Styela clava: one gene and its partners. The protein of the gene in region 1 binds, or shares a complex with, the protein of each later gene. Links are inferred from orthologs where the notes say so. Each region holds a gene or a part of one and is shown in the gene's direction. Other genes may lie near its edges.

Region 1 (7,785 bases):
GACGTAGAAACACAAAGATGTTACATTCATTACATTGCTTTTGCTCGTAAGTTGTTTCTCGTATTTACCTCTACCCAGGTTTTGTTAAAGTAGACACCAAACGTGGTGATTTAATTAATAAATTGAAAATTACTGTTTTACAATTACATTTTTGATTACCTTATCCATTTACTTGCCGCTCGAGAATTTCGGTCATATCCTATGTCAGGTAAAACAGAAATATCATCAATCCACAGCAATCAAATCAGACGTTTTCGAATATAGTGGGCTATTGTCACAACGTTCTGTATACTTCGAAAACTCGTCGCTATTTTAATATCCGTAATTGAAAATTAGATTATTTTGAAACGTTTTCGAAAGGGGTAAAATTAACAGTTTTTATAGTTAACATCTGGATTAATATGGGAACAACGAATCTCGACAATACATGGACAAGCCGAGTCTCTTGAAGATGTAATTCAAGTAATATCGGGTACAATTTTACTTGATCGCCTTTCTAAATTATCTATATCGAGTACACTGAATTGACATATCAAGTTTTTGTGCCTCAAATAGATGTTATTTTGGTTTGAAGGCCTTAACGTCTTTATTCAAAGTCATTCACAGGCTGTATATCATCTCACTAAAGCTATTTATATTCACACAATGAATATTTTACTAAACTCAATGCCCAACCCAAATATTTTTTATTTTTCCCAACAATGGTCAATCACGAGCAGCAAAATCGCATAAGTACCCTAAATTGTGTGCCCGAAGCATGAAACTATTTTTGGACAAAATATTATATTTCCGGGCAAAATCCGTTTGTTCCGATCCACAAATAATTTTTTTAAGGCGGTGTGTGGGATTTTGAAGTCACGAGGAGTTCTACACCCATCCTTACAGACTTAATTCATGCAGCTAGCTGGCATAATTGATTAGTTAGCTACTCGTGTTAGACATGGGAGCCGGACGAGTGGTTGTAGTTTGCCAGAATGGGATTTTTTTCGATCACTTCTACAGTTTGGTGAGTTCAAAGGCCAGTGTGAATTTATTTTTTGAGAAACTGGTACTACATGCAGTTGCAAATGATATTGAATTAATTACAATAATAAATGCACTATTTATTATGCAGTAGAAACGAAGTCCCTGAAAAATAGAACAAATCTACTCCAAGCGAATTGTACAAGACAATTTAATATATATGATAAAACAACAATCCCGAAATCCCGGAGTTTAGGCTTGTTACTCGATTCCTGATTCCCAGAATTTTCAAGAAGGTAATTTTTGTCGGATCAATATGCCGATTTTAAATATATTTCATTTTTATTGGATTTTTTCATAGGATATAGTTTCCCTTCACTTTACTGTATCTAGTGCTTAACATCCGTTGTGCTTTTATGTATGGACCTTTCCCCGACCTTTGACCGCCGGAAAATTCTTCCTATACTTTATCATTGCAAAATTTTCGGGGCTATTTTAAGAGTGCTTTTGCGAGTTGGCGCCTATAAATTGGGTATGTGTTCCAAGCCATCATTATGATTCATCGCATACAACAATCTGTTTTTTAAAAGTACCGGTAAATAATTTCAGGCTAGTCTATCACAGCTATTTCTACACTAATTTTTTATTATTGCAATTAAATTAAAACTCCTAGGAAGACAGAGTGATCATTGAATTATCTGATTTTTATTTAAGTTTCCGAAACGCAACTGAAAATTAACGAATAGAGATAAAAAAAAAACGCGAAAACGAGTTAATGTTTACAACCACACTTGAAAATCTGCCTGAGTGAGAAAAGTGTCTGAGCGGATCACTTCAAAAGTGTCACTTTTTGCAACTACCTGATTGGCCAATGTCACGAAGTAAACAAGGAAGTTGATGCTCGGGGAAAGGTCCATAAGATTTCGATCACGCCCTATTATATCCCGACACTGGCATCATGCATTTTACAGCTAAGCCATAATTAGCTAAATTCAGAAAAAAAATCGCGTCATTTGTGCAATACATCCATAATAATATGCTTACTCCTGTAATACCGATGTATGGGATAGGACCAGTGGTGGGATTCAGACGGTTCGCACCGGTTCTATAGAACCGTCTCAAGAAATTTTATGAGATCAGCAAACCGGTTAGCTTTACTGATTACTGTCAATGTTCTGTTTGTAACAGAACCGACTGTTACCGGCATATGATATTTGGGACCTCCTGAAGTATGCGCACCAAGATGGCGCACAACCTGAACTCAGGTTGTGTACCAAGTTATTGTTCAGGTTGTGCGACATCTTGGTGCGCATACTTCGGGAGTACCGATATTTGTGATGAAACCGGCTGACAAAAAATTTGAATTTCACCACTGGATAGGACCCACCAACTGTGTTAAAATCAGGGTTCATTTTATTACTAAAACAGTTCACTGGGCATTCAAAGTTTGGCGATAAAGATGGAGAATGTCTACCGACGTAGGAAAGCTAATCGTATGGGCGCAATCTGGCCGTGTTATCAATGATAACGGCCTGTTTACAACTCAATATTACATTAAATATATATAATTTCTACTCAAATTTTCAACGTATCCGTTTACTTTCAAAAGTTTCCAATACTGAATAATCATGCGATTGTTGAGTGAGAATCACGATGTCAAAATTTCTAATTTCGTCCAGAAATCACAGCCCCAGTGGTAGCCAATACGTACATAGAATTATGATAGTTATTGTAGTTGATTTAACTTGCTTCAAAACGAAATCGGTGGAAATTGGTTTCAGTAAGATAAAAAATGAAAAAGTTGCGTATGAAAAATACACATTTATCCAAAACCTGACTTTTGATCTTCCTAGTAAACTAGGCTACTAACATACGGCTAGTGCCATTTTAATATTAAGGAAGTATCCATTTTAGTGATTATCCAAGTGAATATAATAACCGGTTATATGCACTTTGTTGAGGATATGCGAGTATTTCAGTGGGACCACAAGCATTTTAGTAGATTACATATTTTTTCATATTTCCCTATACAGATCAGAAACTAGCTGTCTATAAAATTCAGCAATGAGACTTTCATATTAATCGTCAGTTATTCGAAGCTTATATTATTCTAGTTTATTATTTCTTTTGAAAGAACTCCTTTTCACCATAGAGCTTCCTTTTGTCATTTCTGCAACAAATAGTTTTTTGTAATAATTTTTTGTTTTACTTTTTCAATGAATTCAGACCGATTTCCGATTGCTTTGCTTCCGATTGCTTTGCTTCGTGTTGACGATTCTATTTCCTACATCTAATTTAATTTTAAAGTTGGACGTTTGCACCCAAGTATTTATGCCTGAAATATATATTATTTAAATTTACTTTAATGTGTTGTTTGCTGTTTGGGCTGTAGGGTAAGTGAAAGGGTATCAGATTTTTATTTTTTAGATTTTGCGCACTTTTCTGATTTTCCGCTATTTGTTAGTTTTGCGCGTATTTCGCTTCTTTGTTTTATTGTATCAAAAAATCGAAATGAACTTACTTATTTCAGTGGAACTTAGTGTTTAATTGGGGGCAATAGACCCCCTCGGTAGCTGATGTAGCCTTAGCCTATTGGGCATAAGAATAAGATATCATTTTTATCACGTTGGATAGGAAAGTCGATAAAACGACCTAATCGTATGGCGTACTATGGCCCCTCGTCCGGTTACCAGTCCATGTCGGGTACGTAATTGGTTTGCCAGATATTTGTTTTATATGAGGCAGTTGCGTGACCCGGCAGTGGAGAGTCCAGCAATCATCTCTCACATAGTTATCCCCTCTGTGCCCGAACCTGCCAATCTACGCAAAATTCGCTTTATGTGTGCACTTTTTCTTAATTTGTAAAATTTCGAGATTGTTTAAGTAAAATTCCAAAATTTCAGAATAGGATATCATTTTTATTCCGGGGATGTTGCATGGACTTGATTTGTAATTTATGCACTAAATCCCTCGTTTGGTTGGCACACAATATATAAAGATACGATGTGATATTTCATTAATCTGGCTTCTTACCAAAAATGGCTAGAATTGTTTTGAGTTAAGCAAAAAATTTACAAAAAAAGTTGCTTCAAAGGATATCGCTATTTTAGTATGTACATAGCTGACATAGCCATTTTAGTAGGAAGTTGTCGCGATTTTAAAAGGTGGGAAAATAGCGGACATAGCCATAGCCATTTTAGTAGGAAGGTATCGAGATCGCGATTTTAGAAGGGACATCGCTATTTTAGTAGAGACATTGCGGACATGGTCTTTTTATTAAGTACAGAACAAACACAGCCATTTCAGTAGGGACGTATCGGGATCGTGATATTAAAAAAGATATACCGGTACCGGTAGTCATTTTAGTCGGGAAATAGCAGACAGTTTTTCGTTTTCAGCCTTAGCTCGATGCGCGACACCACCGAGCCACACGGTACGGTACGATACATGGCAATGTTATACCGTATCAGTAGCTACCGGTATTACGTGAACCACCCAACGACGGCGAGGAGTCCAGCAATCCTCTCGCACATAACCATCCCTGCATGGGATTCGAACCTGCGAACCCATGCAGAGTAATTAGAGGTGCGACGTTGGCGAGCGTATTCATAACGCTTAGCCCGTTGAGCCACACCGCAGCGCTTACTGTCTGTAGTCTTTATTTCATTATTTGAGCAAAGACAGGAATATACCACCCACAGACCCCATATCTATATCAAGCTTCTGATGGTACGGTAGTGTCTATATTATTAGTTTTTTTTTTTTTATGCTTATGCAACACAGCTAATAATTAGCCCTAATTAAATGCTTTTTGACAATTATGGCCGCTACTGAACAACAGGATTGGGTGTTAGACGATGGTACTGAAAAGCTAGCTGGGGAAATACAACTACGAAGCTATTCCAAGTTCATTTCAGGGTACTCCCAGCAACTTGCGGATTTGGAAACGGCTCTCGGAAGTTATAGCCTTGATGCATGGGATAGGCATTTGGATCCGATTTCGTTGGACACATCTCCGCATGAAAGGACGTCACTTTTGGATTTGATAAACACAGAAAACAAAGTGTTGAATAAGATTATAATCGCGTTATCTTCTTTATGCCTCGAAGTACAGCATTTGGAAAAAGAGGCAAAGGAAGAATTTTATGATGCGTTATTGTTCTATGGCGAAGGAGTAGAAATAAAGGAAGAAGATGGAACACGACAATCCCAAATTGGTCGTCTTTTGCCATTATTACAAAGATTGTCAAGCTTTGTAACAAGAGGAAAAGAAGTCTTAAAAAACATGATCTTACAACTTGCAGCACTACATAACAAAACGATGCCTAAAGTTATGGAAGTCGGACAAATTCACTTTACAACTGTATTTGAAAGTATCGGAGCGTTACTGCGCATCATGATTACTTTAAATGAAATTGTAGCTGCTAATACTGTGTTAAAGAACCATTGGATTCAATATAAAGTTGTGTTGAAGTCTGTATATCAGGATCCGTCTAAATATGGCGTCGATGCGGATAAAATAAAACCGTTTGAAAAAATGTTAGCCAGAATCGAAAGGCAGATTTTAGATGGTAAAATACTGGATCATTGCTGGCTACAAAATTATGACGACACTGGTATTCCAGTCAGTAAAAATACACTTTTTGCTGAAGAATTTGCTACCAATATAAAAATTATTTTTGGAAATGTAGAACCGAAAATTGGTGACGGAACTGAAACGACTCAAAGGTTACAGTATGTGGAATTATGTGCTTTATTCGCTCTTCATGTGATGATTTTTCGAGACTTGGACAAGCGACTTTTTCGCCAATTGTGGGATGTTTACAAGAAGCTGCCATGCGTTGTTTTGACTAGTAACGTCATTTGGTTCGCTGATGAGTTTTTGAAACGATTTGCTGGAAAAGCAATCGACAAGAAAATGTCTGATCAAGTAACCCAATCTCGACTGGCGTACTTGAATTCAAAACAGCAATCCTTACCTAGGGAAGCCCAAAGTTACTTTTTGACAGTAAGTTCTTGGCTTGTCAAAATGGAGTCTATACAGACGCAAGACAAATCAACTGCCGATCTCAATAACAAAGTCAAAATTCTATTGGAGGGAATATATTTATCTTTTGGTTTAAGTAACATGGTAAGCCAAGTGATGAATCTGCATGCAGCAATGCAAAAACCAATGTCAAGATCTGAAGTATTGGCTCTTTGTCGTATTATGGGATTAGCGAAAGCTATTGAAGACAGTTTTCATCGTTGTGCGATGCAAGTTATGGAAAATGAACAACAGATGGTGCAGCATTTACAATACCAAATTCTTGCTGGTTTACAAATGGGAAAAAGAAGAATCGTAGTCGACAAAAAATACAGCGATCGAAGGCTCGATATATTATCAGCTATCATGCTTGCTTCGAATTCTATTAACGGACCACCGACAGCTCAAAGAATTCTTGTTACAAAATTAGCCATCAGTATCGCCGATCAAATGAGAGTATTTAAAGATGAGGAATTGGGTGTTGTCAAGACGATGATCGACAGATTGATTATTTTTGGAAACAGCCTTAAATCATCTATTCGTAGAGCATCTGATTTTTCTTTCTTTTACTGGCATCGTGCAGTCCTTGGAATATTTTTTGACGGAGTTTGTCAAGATCCTACAGATGCAGGTCAAATGCATTATATGTTTTCTGTTTTGAATGATTGTGTTCCCCATATACGTAGAAGCAAACATGTTGAAAACACAGAAGAACTGGTGAAACATTACTCCGAAGATGTTATAGCAATTTTGAAACAGAACCTGTTAGTGAAAGTATGCAAGGAGATTGAAAACGACCTACGCCTGTCTGTCCATACCCATTTAAAATTAGATGATAGAAACCCGTATAAAGTTGGACTGAAAGGCCTTCGACAATTATTGTCCATTAAACCGCTACATTTTCTGAACCAGATGATTGACATAAAAGATTATGTGTCACATTACATCGATACGACATTCTATAATTTGACAACTGTGGCTTTGCACGACTGGCGAACCTACGGAGAAATGAGAAATTTGGCTGTACAGAAATATCAACTCAGAATGCAAGAGGTTCATCTACCAAATCAGACTCTTGAACAAGGTCTTGATGTCTTGGAAATCATGAGAAATATTCACGTATTTGTTTCGAAATATCTCTACAACCTAAATAATCAGATATTTGTTGAAAAGTCTAGCAACAACAAGCATCTAAACACGATCAATATTCGCCACGTTGCGAATTCCGTACGAACCCACGGAACTGGAATCATGAATACGACAGTGAATTTTACTTTCCAATTTCTAAAGAAAAAATTTTACATTTTTTCTCAGTTTTTGTACGATGAACACATCAAATCAAGACTTATTAAAGATATTCGGAATTTCAAGGAAAATCGTGTCGCACTCGGACAGAGGTATCCCTACGATCGCGCTGACAGATTCAATAAAGGGATTCGAAAGCTCGGTCTTTCACCTGAGGGTCATAGTTATTTGGATCAATTCCGACTGCTCGTTTCTCATATAGGAAATGCAATGGGATATGTTCGCATGGTAAGGTCTGGCGGAATTCATTATTGCAGTGATGCAATACGTTTCGTTCCTGATCTTGATGATATCGTGAGTTTCAATGAACTAGTGAGAGAGGAAAACATAGGAGATGAAGTAAATGAAGCCGCGTCACATTTGGATACTGTGATTGATACCTTGTCGAAAAATTCCGCTGAAGGATCGGATTATTTTACCAAACTTGTTGATGTTTTTTCGCAAGAATTCCGCAGTCAGAAAAACATGCATTTGAGGAATTTTTACGCCAT
Region 2 (6,568 bases), on another chromosome or scaffold:
ATTCATTATAGCATATTAATAATAAATTAAATTATGGTTCACTAATGTAGACATTTGCAAAATATAATGTAAGAGACATAACACTGTGGAAAATGTACATGTTTTTCATAATTTCCTGCTATTCGTCAGGTTACAAAAAATTTCAATTGTCTCGTGGGTATCATATGCTTTGCTCAACAGATGGCATTTTTGGATAAAATGTTCCAGCATTAACATATACAACGTCATTGGCAAATGGCAATAACAAGTTAGTTATCTCTGAAATTTATATACTGGTATTATGTGCCACATGAATCTCACATACAGAACAACCACATTATTTTTGCTTGAATTAATAAATATTAGATCAAAAATGTTTTATATCGAATAAGTTTTCTTGGTTATTATTACAATAGTTCTCTGTGATTCAACAATCTTGCAGGAACGAAAGTTACAGAAATACATTTGTGTTGATGTGCAGCCAGATAGAATAGTCTCTCGAATCAGATAGAATAGTCATCTTTATTATTGCTACAGCATATTTAAATTATACATTTACCATGAGCTCAAAGGTATGGAGGGCAGAGTGGATGGTTAGTTACTATAAATTATATTTAGTACCTTCTCATGCCAAGGTAAACTCAATCATAAAAGTTGAAGTCCATAGTTGCAAAGAATTCACAAAAATTCTAATAACAAACTTTTCATTGAAATGAGAATTCTCGTCGAAATATATACGAAAAAATTCACCTACAGATAAAACACTTTTCGATAAATTTATCAAAATATTAAAAAAAACTAACCAGATATTGGATATCTGAATCTTCTCAATTTTCCGTCGTAAAGTCGAGAGTAAGGTTGTGGCTCATCGTCACCAAAGAAATGAACCCGTTCATAATCTTCTAAATATCTACGAATGAGTAAAAGTAAAACGTTGAAGGTATACGTTAATATGAAAAATGAGACAAGGCTAAAAACCTGTGTAAAATAAGACAATTAGAAGTCTTTCCACAGTAATTCTACTTGCGCCAGACAGAATCTTAACAAATCAAATACCTTCTACAAGAGACTCCTAACAAAATACTACAGTATTTTCATATTAGTTTTATAAAGTCTTGTTTCAAATTCCACAAAACCTATGGACTGTTAGCTCCTATTATTGACAAATGGGTTACTTGATAATTTGACATATTATACACTGACAAAAAATTGGCAATCCTGTCTTTTTCTAAACAACAATTCAAACTGTGGAAAGCTTTAATTAACATAGAAAAGCAAATAATTTTATAAATGCAACCCTACATTTTCAAAATCACAACACACAGCTGCTATACATTACGAATAAGAAGAGAGTATTCCAATGGTATCATTAGCAAACTGCATCTCAAAGCTTTCAAACTGACTTCATTTTGAAGTGAACATGTATCACTGACTTAACATGGGTTCATCAAAACAATGAAAATGATTGGTGTAAATAAGGATTCTAGCATGTACCTGCTACTTTCGTTTCGAATATTTTTCTATTAAATTGAGTTTGATTAAAATATATATTAGTTTCGTCTACTTCTCTATTAAACCCAAAACCTCAAAATACATTTAATAATATCTCAAAATATTATGGCTTTGGCCAGCAGGCAAGGCAGGCTTAAAGACTTACAATTGATAAATCTTCTGCAATCCAAAGGCAAGAGTCGCTGATATTCCAGGAAACCCATAGTATTCCAAAAAATCTTCCCAAAACCCTCTATCAGTCACCTAAAATGAATTGATCCATTGGTTAGATTACATTTACACATAAAACACAATTAGCCCCCACTCGATGATGTTAGTTAGTAGCAGTAGCCAGTGCTACTTGGCGTGCAGTATAGAGAACAATTTCCAACAACTAGTCAAGTTGCAGCATATATTCAGAGAAAAGCCTGTATACTATTTGTGCATAGTATCTATGTAAATAAAATTATAATGAAATCTGGAGACTGAAAAACTATGAAATTGCATGTCACTTAAACACTCTCAGAAAAAAAGTTGTTACTGTTTGTAAGCATGTTGAAATGAAATTATGCATACAGGTGAATTGTTGTGGTTTATTACCTTACGCAGATATATTTGTTTTTGTCACTAAGCTAAGACTGCAAAAATCGGGCAAAAAAATAACCAAAGCAAGCATACAGCTATTATCAAGATAATGGCCTTTAGTTACAACAAGAATAATTCACAAAAAATTATATCCACGATAAATTTCCATATGTGAAAATCTGGAAAACATTGAAATTAAAACCATCTTGAAATAAGTTTGAGGATTTTAGTTTAATATCATAATATGTGTGGTAATATTTTACCTATATTAATTTAAACCGAATCAAACAGCATATAAATAATGAAATTATTTGGAATTTGCAAACATAGATACAATACCAACATATATATTACTGTACATATCAAAAAATTTTAGTCGCTTGACAAAATATAAATCATGGAAGTCAAGCCATGGCCATAAGTTGTAAAAGCCATAAGTAAAAATAAAAAGGGTATAAACACATACATGCTTCACCAAGAGTGAAATTACATAAATTGTCTGATTGTACAAATACTGAAATAAAATGAAGAAACAGTGAGGTTCACTAATACAAAACAGTGAGAAAGAAACAAGAGAAAATGCATCAACATAAATATCAACAACAGACCTTCTGATATCCGCCAGCTTGAGTAATTTTGTTGTATAAATCGTGAAGATCTATCGTTCGGCCAGCAAGATTTGGAGTTCGACAAACATATCTCCTGAAATATTAATAACATAAAGGTTTAGAAAAAATCACTTCAACAAATAAAACAATCTACTACTGTACTAATTCTAAAATCAAAACGTGAAAGATTTAACATCAAATAAATTTTTAAATTTGGATTTCAAATTTTAATACATATGATGCAATAAAGACTTGACTTAAAATTGTTTAGATGAAAAATCAGTGTGTTATGATTTATGCTTGTGTATGCCCTAAGTAGTACAAGAAGTTAACTGAATTGTATTATGGCTTTAGCTTACCCTTTGTCCGAAAGAAATTGACTAAGCTCATTTAAAAAAGCTTCCTTTTGTCCTTGCTCAGATGAGTTGTGTGAATCTCTCCTACTTTCCATATTGAAAAATTATTGCTTGGAACATTGGATAATATCAATATATAGCTGTAGCAACACATAGCATGAGTTACCTTTGCACGTCAGATATATTTGCCTGTACTCCTTGAAGCGTTTGCAAAACGGGCTGCCAATCAGTCTATCAACTCTCCTTTGCCGGTATTCTCGCACAAGTCGCGTAATATAAAGCGGGAAATCTAAATAAGTGATACGTCTTTCCACGGGCGATACCCGCGATCGGGTGTACAAGGCAGCTGGCTGGCAGTGAATTCAAACGCTTAGGTAATATCTACTGAATCAGGCGATGTGACGTTCTGATGAATTTGGTATGGCTGGATTAGATAAATTAATATCATATATATTTGTCTCTCCTATTCTCGGGAATACTACGAAAATCAGGGCAGAAACATTCCATAAACGCACTTATACTGCCCAACAACGATTTGCCGGCTTTCCTAACTCAGTAATTGCCATCGACGCTCTAACACCAAAACCTGTAAACTGATAACTATTTTCCGCTCTTTTTTCCAAAACTGACACAAGTGAAGCGAAATTAAGTTCGGCCAGAAAAGATTTAAAATCCAAGTTTTACCAACGTCACAAAATCGAAAAATCGACGTCTTTGGTGAGGTAATAATGTGGCTAAAATGTAAAACGGCCTCCATTTTGTTTTTAGGCCAAGGGAAGGCAAAAATATCTGAAGCGCGCCGTTTTGTTTTCGCGACTTGGCCTAATCAACTCTCGATACTCGACAAATCATGCAGTAACGGCCGATTTGGAACCCAAACGCTCGACTCCCACATTACATACGCATGAGGAAGGTCCCGCATAAGCCGTGTGCTATTTCTTTGTCTATGCGTCACCTCGTCGCTGACTGCGCTCAACGGATAGAACGACCGCTGGGCAAAGAACGTTGTAATGGCGGCTGATCACGTGACAAATCTACCACATCGATTCAGGCTAAAAATATGAAGCTTGGGGTAAATTTTCAATAGTTTTTTGGTGTGTTTGGCCCATTGGCAGGTCCACATGCGCGCACCTCCAAAGTTATCCATTTATACCTTTGTTTATCCTAATGCGACGTCGCTTATTTAATTTTTATAAGGCACCTTGCTGCCTTTTTTCTCAACTGTCGATCGTCTGCTGATTTTTGGTTTGTTCTTATAAAAGTCATTCACCGTATCGTATCCTGGGCTCGCTGTTATAGAGAGGGATTAGGCAGCGGACATTGTAATTTGAAGAAATGTTGTTGTTTTTACTAAAATAAAATACAGCTAAATAAAAAACGGAATAAGATTAATATATGCGATTATCAAAATATATGGACAGTAAATAGTTCAGTTCAAAATAATGGATGACGTTAATCTTCCCGCTTTGGGACCAACTGTGGATCTTACAAAAGTACGTAATATTTGATAATTTTTTTTCTACTGGTACCGCTACTGTAAACTAGACCATTAAATATTCTTCCATAAAATGATAATTTACCTGCGTATTTTTTATTTCAAGATGGCGCCGCTTAATCAACGGCGTTCTGTGACATTTATGAACCACTTTATCACACACACTGCAAATTTTCTCAATAAATTCTCAAACATGGCAGAGGAAAAGTTGGCATTACAATCGTTAGAGATGCAAAGAATGGAAATAGCTCTGAATATATTAGAAGCTAAGGTGACTTTACTTTATTTTTTCCAACAAATGAGAAATATTTTCATTCAACAATCAGACTACACAATAGCTGTTGTTTATATCGGTATATGCTTGATAGTTGAAAGTTTTCACCAAATCACCAAATGTTATACACAATTGTGACAATATCACTCATATATATATATTCATTAATATTATATCGATGACGAAAACAAAATTGGATCGATCATTATTTTATAATAGCAAACTATGGTAAACTGAATGTGACTTCAAATAAAACTATTTCTTCTCTTTTTGAGATGGAGAAAATTAAAAAAAAATTATAGGACTGATTGAATACGTTCTGTCTATTGATTTACAAAATGCATATTGGCTTAGTTTGATGTGATGGCCCAAAACTTAATTTCAATTGTATTTTTAGCTTTCATCCATTCCTGGCCTTGATGATGTCAAGAAAGAGGAACCGTCACCTACTCAACCTGCCTCAACAGAGCCTGTCAGTACCCCTACCCCTAATGGGGTTGAGGCCCCTCCCCCTGCTGAAGATAATGAACCACCTGCCCCTGATCCTAATGTTGTATTAGTTAAGAATGATGCCAGGTACTGTTCTAAAAAAATTTTCCTAGTTTATCTGTTATTTTTCTAAAAAATTTGTCTTTACTCATCGCTTCTTCTGGTATATTTGGTCTTAACAATTTTTTACTTCTAGATATGCCAAATACCTCAAGATGGTGATGGTAGGTGTACCGAAGATGGCAGTTGCAAATAAAATGAGGGCTGAAGGTTTGGATCCAGATATGCTCGAGTAAGTTGGATCTGGTGATGTTTTTTTCAAATTTCAAACAAAAAAACCACCAACTAATGCTATAGCTGACATGGACTGGTAATCGGATGCGAGGATGTAGTGTGCATATGAAAGGGTTGTCTCTACAGCTTTTCTCTCCCATGGCTATTCTAAATATATACCAGTCTGGTTTGTAAAAAGGTCAGCAATTTGATAGGTTTCAGATGAATATTTTAACCATGTTAATGAGCATGAAATTGATACCTATGTTTGCAATAACAGTACTTTGTGTTAATTTCAGTACGCCTGATGCCCCTGTACCTGATGGTGGACAAGCTCCAACTGATGAAGATTCTGATAACGAGAGTCAAAGTTTATCTTCAAATGACGATTTCAGTGATTGATTGTTGCAGTGTTTTTATTTATTTTTCTGATTTCTTCATTGGTGCAATATTATTAAGCATATTGAGATTTTAACAATTTGTATATGTTGTTTCAATAGCAGTTACAGGTTGGAGCTGCTCTGGTGTAAGGAAGTTAAATTCAAGTCCTGTTCGCTCATGAAATCTGCTATATAACAGTGGTTTCGAAACAGGATTCGAGTACATTCTAGGCCAGGGTTTCTGGGAATTTGCATTCAAATCTGAGTCTATAATGTTATGTGTACAGTGTCTCAAGCTTCAGGAAGAATATTTCATTGGGGCCCTGCCCTACCAAACAGTTTGAAAATCGCATGGCTGGCATTTACCAGGACACCCCTTCCAATACAAACAAACTTTGAATCAGTGATCTTTATTACCTTTTTCAGAGGTGCAATATTAATTACAACATAAATAAAGTTCGCAAATAATTTAATACACATCACAAATTTGCATTCTTCCTCGATTTGAAGGAGATCATTTAAAACCACAGAATCAGAAAAATAGCATTTGTTCTAACCTATGACAATCAAGACATATCGAAATGAACACAGCGAATTGCCTTTAATAAGGCAGTAGTACATTCAGTGCTTGGTTCTCA
Region 3 (7,594 bases), on another chromosome or scaffold:
CAAATTTTTAAATGCTGCAGAAATGCACATAAATTCGCCATCAAGAAAAGGGCACTTCGTTTCGTATGCTGGCTTTTCAGTATCATTTTTTATAGTTTGCATGATTACCTAACATTTTTAACTTTTGGATGGGGTTTAGCCCTGAAAACAGTGCGAAACAGAAATGAACAGTAAGCGATGGAAAAATTGAGTGTTTCGCACATTTTGCTCTGTTCGGCAAAAAACGCTGTTTTCTAGTAATTATCAAAACCAAAATTAGACATTAAATGAGTACCTGTTTATTTTGATTTGACCGATAAACAACACATATAAAAAAAAAACACATATAAAAAAAAACACTTGGTAAAATCAAAAAAACTGGCAAATGGAATAAACAACTTACATTCCATGAATCCTCTTATGCATATGAATCGTATATTCCCTCGTTACGACATCTTTCATCGCCCCACCAGAACGCTTCTTGTCTTTTTTCGCCACCATCTACAAAATTGAAATAACCATAATAATAATGGCATCGAGCAGTATATGATCGTTGGCATCCGAATCTCTGTACAACAGCAATACAAAATGACAGAATTACATGTATAATAAAAATTTTGTTGCAATTTTTCCAGAAAATAACAAACATGAAACGATGAACACACAGAAGATTAGGAAATTGAAATAACGGCGCGGCGGTGTGGCTCAACGGGCTAAGCGTTAGGAATACGCTCGCCACCGCACCTCTAATTACTCTGTGTGGGTTCGCAGGTTCGAATCCCATGCAGGGATGGTTATGTGCGAGAGGATTGCTGGACTCCTCGCCGTCGTTGGGTGGTTCACGAAACCGCTGGTCGGTTACGGCTTCCTCCACCACCAAGTCCATGCTTCCGAAAACAAACAATACAGTAAAAAAACTAATCCCATACCCGACTTGGAAAGGTAACCGGACGAGAGGCCGTGGTTCGCCATATGGATAAGCCGTCTTATCGGCTTTCTTCTCCCCCGGGATAAATATGTAAATCCTATCCTATCCTAACTGGCAACACCCTTCAAAAAGGTTTCAAGCATATAGAAGTATTCTCATAAAACAATAAATGCATGGTTACAGGTAATAATATAACTTATAGGAACCTTCTGATTATTATGCCAATTGCTTTTGAAGTAAACCACATACTCAATTGAGCTGTGACCTCAATTTTCCCACAGCAAATGCAGAAAATACTACACAAGAAACTCTTTCGGTATACGCCACTTAAAGATAAAATCATCGTATCATATACGGCTTTTAGGACTAAATTAGAAACGACAACTTAAAATAAGAGTTATGAATTTTCCATAATTATCAAAATATCAATGAAAAACTTCACTATTGTTTAGATCAGGACAGATTAAAATTGGGAGTAAATCGAACACTTACCTTGATTGGCAGGACGTTCCCGAAAAGACCGAATCGACAACCTCGATCCAAAAGCAGCATCAAAGCTAGGGTCAAAGGTCGTAACCTGTGTTTCTAAAACACTTATCAAATTTTCGCTATGAAGAAATGGAGGTTTTGTCTAAAATGTTTAAATTAGTTTAATCTTGAAATTATTTATTATTTTAATTTCATAATCGAGCAAAACTTCAGAAACTAATCGTTTTAGAATTTTAAATTCACAGTTGAATGAGCTCGTCATGTGATTAAGTTGAGGGGAATACCCTGAAATAGTCGTCCATTTTCTCTTTAAGCTGTCGCTGTTTCTTGTGCTTATTTCAGAGATAGTTTTTATATTTATACCGGTACCGACAGAAAGAAAAGTCGATAGAACGGCTTATTTATATAGCGCACTATGGCTTTTCGTCCTAGGTCGTATCGTTGCCCCCCAGTCATATACCGAAAACTATTTTTTTGATATTTGTTTATGTGTGCATAAATTGATTTCTTGGTTTGACAAAATGAAATAAACTCTTTCTCTCTATTAACTGCCCATCTCGGGTATGTGATTAGTTAGCCAGTTCAGCAGTTGTTCGTTTCCTGGTTTCAGTAGGTATGTTACAAAAAAATTAAAGTTCATCCGATTTAAATAAAAACTGCACCAGTGGACCAGACTGGATTCCATGGCAGGCCAGTCTGGATTTCATGGCCTTTTTGAACGAGAAATCGGGCGTGCAATCAGAAATTCCCGCGTGCAAATAAGAATTCCTGGCGTGCAATTATAGCTCACGACGTGCAAAACAACTGCACTCGCGTGCAACTGACTTTGACATCAGATACCTCTCAATACATCCGCGTAAAATTACCGGTATCGGATAAAAAATACGTTGAATCAGAGAAAAAATGGACGTTTGACCTTTGACCGCAAACATTATTTCTACAGTTTGTCGCTAATTTTGAGAGTGTTTGTGCGACTTCGGATACCGATACTGTTCAGTACATCCGCGTGAAATTATTGGATAAAAAATACGTTGAACCAGAGCAAAATGGACATACTTTGTCATTAATTTTGGTAGTGTTTTTACGTAGAATTAATAGATAAAAAATACGTCAAATTAGAGCAAAATGGACGTTTGACCTTTGACCCCAAACATTATTTTCATACTTTGTCACTAATTTTGGGAGTGTTTGAGCAACTTTAGATACCGGTACTGTTCAGTACATTCGTGTAAAATTATTGTATGAAAAATACGCTGAATCAGAGCCGTACTTGGCCATTGGTGCGGAGGCGATCTTTTCGTCCATAACTATTCTCACGGGATTCCTATTTCCAACATTCAACACGATATGGACCTTTCCCCGAGCATCGACTTCCTTGTTTACTTCGTGACATTGGCCAATCAGCAAGATGCAAAAAAGGACGTAACAATGAGAGGAATTTTTCGCGGGTCAAAGGTTGGGGAAAGGTCCATGGTCTTTTTGCTTCGCAATATTTCGATCGGACCAAATCTTGCAAGCTGGTATTTGTCGACAATTGTGGAGTTATAATATTTTGGCATCTTTATATTACTGGATTATTGATTTTAAAACCATTTAAACCGAAATTTTCGGCGTGCAAAATTGATTTCGCTCGCGTGCATTTTTGCGGAGCGCTAGCGCCCTCGGGCGTGCACCTGCCATGGAATCCAGTCTGGATGGCAGGTGCACGCCCGAGGGCGCTAGCGCTCCGCAAAAATGCACGCGAGCGAAATCAATTTTGGACGCCGAAAATTTGCAATTGCTCACCAATGTAAATCGGTTTAAATGGTACCGGTATCCAAAGTCGCACAAACACTCTCAAAATTAGCGACAAACTGTAGAAATAATGTTTGGGGTCAAAGGTCAAAAGTCCATTTTTTCTCTGATTCAACGTATTTTTTATCCGATACCGGTAATTTTACGCGGATGTATTGAGAGGTATCTGATGTCAAAGTCAGTTGCACCCGAGCGCAGTTGTTTTGCACGTCGTGAGCTATAATTGCACGCCAGGAATTCTTATTTGCACGCGGGAATTTCTGATTGCACGCCCGATTTCTCGTTCAAAAAGGCCATGAAATCCAGACTGGCCAGTGGATAGATCTAAGTGAAAATAAGAAAACAATATCATGTTTGCGAAAAACGGTCAAGAATTACCGGAGATATCGGCATTTAAGTACCGCCCGATAGGCCAATTTTTTCCATAAGGATTGTATTGCGCCGACTCAAAAACTGTGACCGCAGGAATGTCAGACTGATAAACAACAGAATGTATCTCGGCTATTTTTGAAGGTAATCGAAATAAATTAGAAACGAAAAGTTATTGTGAATAAAAGAACCTAATGCAAAAAAGTTTACAAATTCTTTTCAACGAAATTAGCTGCTTTCCAATTAATTATGTAAGAGAAAGTCTCTGAACTTTACATAACCACTGGTCGGCAACGACTTTCCCACTACGCAAGTTCCCGCCTACGCTGCAATTAACTGATTCAGCGTTTTTCATATCCGACCTTAATGAACGATTTATTATCATTTAATATTCCTTAACTCGTAAGATATTTACCGCGCTTAGTGAAACGCTAAACGAGAGAAATCGCTGCGAGGGAAAATGTCGGCATTCAATCGATGATGCGCGTTGACTGACGCGTGCTAAGATCATACTTCTCGTGCCTTGAATTAATTTGTACCGTTTCGTAAACGTATGCGAATTGACTTTTTTAATAAGAACTTTAATGAATATGAAAAAAGAACACATATCAATCACTAATCTTTCGATGTGCGTCACATCTAAGAAAAATTGGGATTATTTTAGAATGCATATAACTGTATAATGTCGCAGTAAGAGTAGTACATGAAAATTTTGAGTATCTTAGAAAGTTTGGCTGCACACTATCACAACATATTCAGATGTTGGTTCAAAAAAGTATGGATTATTGAGACATTACATAAATACTAAAATGCTTTCAAGTTTGTGTGCAATAAGATTTGAGTAGGCTTGACAGTTTAGGGGTCGCCTGTAACTTCGCTCAGAACTCAATCTTCTTTATTTCCGAGTGAGTATATGTGCTGACATGATATTTTTTGACCAAATTTCTTAAAAACTACAACTCAGAATACTGACTTTACATTAAAAAGATTTCTTGCCCTTACCAGAACTTTTGTTAGTTATAAACAACAATTCAAAATGGTAGAAAGAGAGCAAATGTACAGCATTCCAGTAATCCCGTTCGATTTACGACGGAATGAAACGATCATGCAGTTTGCGGACTCATTAGATTATCTCTCTGGAGTTTCAGATGACGTTTTTGCAAGAGTGAACAACAGAGTCGCGGATAACAAAAAGAAACTTGATGCTTTGATGGACAGAATTAAAACCGCTGAAGCGCGAATCGAAAAAGTTCGGGGAAGTAACCGAGCGACGCAGGTTTTTTCTAGTTCGAAATACCCAGCGTCCGAAGAACGAGAGAGATATATTTCAATGTTCAAAGATATGCAAAGCTCGTTAAAGGAAGTCAAACAGAATTATCGAAAAATAAAAACAAGGCATTTAGCATTTGAGGACGAAAATTTAAAAAACAAGATGCAAATTTACAATCTCCCTCGACCGAGAACCAAATCGGCTCCATACGTCGATCAAAGTGGGGAGGGACTTGGGGGATTACCCTCAAATATTGCATCCCTGAGTTCGCTATTACTGTTCAACTCATCCGAGAACCCGTATAAGAAATATACCATTTTCGATCCTCTCGGTTTTACGACGAAAACCAAAACTGGTCTAGATGAAGAGAAAGCAGATGACAGTAGGCTCGGGGACGCACCAATGTCAATCAGCAATAGAGAACAAATGGAACGCCACGTTGCAGAGAATTATTTTTACGTTCCAGATTTGGGGGATGTACCAGAAATCGACGTTCCGATGGATTTGCCTGATTTACCTGGCGTTGCGGATTTAACGTTCAGTTCGGACGTGAGCGAGAGTATTGCTCCCTCGTTACTCGCAATTAGTAACTTACCAGATTTACCAGGTGTCGGAGATGCGTTACCTGATGTTCCAGATAGTGGCAGTAAAGAGGAAACTCCGCCTCCTCCCCCACCTCCAAGTTCAAATCCGCCACCCCCACCTCCTCCCCCGTCTGTTCCAAACACATCAGCGCCACCTGCTGGAGTCCCGCCTCCTCCCCCGCCCCCTCCACCACCACCCCCCTCTGCTCCGAGCGCAGTTCCGCAATCTGTTGCTACTCCTGATGGTGGGCGCTCTAATTTACTCGACTCGATTCGCAAAGCTGGCGGTGTCGGAAAAGTGAAACTGAAGAGTAGCAAAGACCGAAAGCTCGCCAAAAAGAAAGAAAAAGAAGCGAAAGCTGCTGCGAGCTCGTCAGGCGGTGGCGATATGATGTCTGATCTAGCAAGCCGTCTCGCTATGAGACGAAAAGGGATTTCGGGAGCTAAGGGTGCGGAACGGCCTGCCTCAGCCAATGATAATAATAGTAACCTTGGAGGCGGTTCGGCGATGGAGAAAATATCTGCGATGATTCCAGCGCCGACGCAAAGTCAAACGACGGACGCAGGCGATGATGATGACTGGAATTAGATAATTTTTATTTGAAGGGAGGATTTAATCCAAAAATTTTTTTTTTAAAACTATCAAAATTTGTGTTTTTGGAGAAAAAATGAGTATTAATATAACATTTTCAAAATGAGTTCACTAAAATCACTAAAAATAATGAAGCTTGAATATAGATTTTTTGGTGCTCCCGAAGTATGCGAACCAAGATGGCGGACATCGGAACGTAACAGGTTAGGGTTAGGCGATAATTTTTTTCCAATTTTCCTTATTTTAGTCCTATTATCAGTTTGAAGACTAGCCAAGAGCCTCCCGTAGTATTTATACATAAAATTATGGCCTAACCCTAACCTAGTACACATATTACATTCCGATGTCCGCCATCTTGGTTTGCATACTTCGGGAGCCCCGATTTTTTAAATGGAAATGGTAAATTTAAAAAATTTGTATCTTTCAACCAATGCAAAAATGTGAGATTCGAGTAAATCACCACGCCACGTTTTTAAAATCAAATTGCTAATTACTCAGTTGGGGTAGAAATGATTTTAATTCCCAGCGCAATCTGCATTTCTAACACTTACTGGATAATTGCTAATTTTCTTATTTTGAGAGGTGGCGAGGCTTTGTATAAAACAGGGGTGGCCAACCTGTTTTCAGCCGCGATCGACTAAAATCTTCAAAATAGCTCACGATCGACTGATCGGTAATGAGGTCATACACAAAAACAAATGAGTGCTGAATATGCAGATAACTGCACAAATGCATACGAAAAATTACATCGCTGCCAATAAGTTTGGCTGTGTGGGCGCATTTTTAATGAAATCGCCACACAAAAACTGGGTCTAGAGTGGCAATTTTTTAGGGTACCGGTATGTTATTAAATTCACTCAACATCAGACACAATCGACTTCTCACCCCTGGTATAAAAGATCCAAAAATGTTTACGGCGAGATGCTATATAAAAACTGTTTTGGGAAAATCATTGAATAAGAATATAAAAATCAATAAAAATTTGGATACTGTATTAAAATTTTTGACTGAATCACCAATAATTGTGCAAGTTTTGTAGTATAAATTTAAGTATATAGAATATTTTATTTTAAACATTCAAATCACTATTTATTTGTGTGCCATGGAAGAGACCAATTTCAGACATTTATTAGCGATAATTGAAGTTGAAATTTTCCATAGAAATTCAAAAATATATTTAGATGAACAAGGTTTTTTTTATTAACAGTATTAGAGAACGCTTGGTTAGATCATACAGTGGGAGTGTTTTCAGAATCGCATGCTTTTTGTCTTAAGTCTTTCTGCGATATATCTAAATTTGAGATTCATTTTGTACAACTCTTAGAACTCTCAAATTCAAAACTGTAGAATTCAATTTTTTTTGTCTGTGATGTCACAGCAATCAATTAAGGATAAAACGAGAATATCGGTCGGAGACCAAAGACTTATCGATGGAAACTGCAGTTTCAATTCATGACTCTATAGTGACACCGCATGTCCCATCACTAATCAATTATTAACTTGCTAATTATACGACATAATTCATCCAAAATCAATGGGCTTCTGGTCCGAGATATGATAAATGCACATGCAAAATTAGGAGCAGATTC

What was found.
Region 2: WASH complex subunit 4-like (region 1) and WASH complex subunit 3-like share a complex: the UniProt entries of both Drosophila melanogaster proteins name them as parts of the WASH complex. The link is inferred for Styela clava from reciprocal best matches to the Drosophila melanogaster genes SWIP and CCDC53.
Region 3: WASH complex subunit 4-like (region 1) and WASH complex subunit 1-like share a complex: the UniProt entries of both Drosophila melanogaster proteins name them as parts of the WASH complex. The link is inferred for Styela clava from reciprocal best matches to the Drosophila melanogaster genes SWIP and wash.

What each region holds. Positions count from the first base shown.
Region 1 is NC_135264.1:10,522,962-10,530,746, forward strand, and holds the start of WASH complex subunit 4-like, read left to right. Parts: upstream 1-4,748; 5' UTR 4,749-4,783; coding exon 4,784-7,785. UniProt on the Drosophila melanogaster protein: Acts at least in part as component of the WASH complex which may regulate wash nucleation-promoting factor (NPF) activity and is required for its membrane targeting during endosomal sorting.
Region 2 is NC_135255.1:16,060,017-16,066,584, reverse strand, and holds WASH complex subunit 3-like, read left to right. Parts: upstream 1-4,283; 5' UTR 4,284-4,461; coding exon 4,462-4,512; intron 4,513-4,620; coding exon 4,621-4,785; intron 4,786-5,185; coding exon 5,186-5,364; intron 5,365-5,473; coding exon 5,474-5,569; intron 5,570-5,849; coding exon 5,850-5,952; 3' UTR 5,953-6,028; downstream 6,029-6,568. Other genes in the region: uncharacterized protein LOC120331925, read right to left, coding at 783-889, 1,637-1,734, 2,664-2,757, 3,023-3,114. UniProt on the Drosophila melanogaster protein: Acts at least in part as component of the WASH complex which may regulate wash nucleation-promoting factor (NPF) activity and is required for its membrane targeting during endosomal sorting.
Region 3 is NC_135263.1:1,569,152-1,576,745, reverse strand, and holds the start of WASH complex subunit 1-like, read left to right. Parts: upstream 1-4,538; 5' UTR 4,539-4,595; coding exon 4,596-6,002; 3' UTR 6,003-7,594. Other genes in the region: large ribosomal subunit protein eL31-like, read right to left, coding at 383-480, 1,400-1,459. UniProt on the Drosophila melanogaster protein: Acts as a nucleation-promoting factor by activating the Arp2/3 complex to induce actin polymerization. Participates in both linear- and branched-actin networks.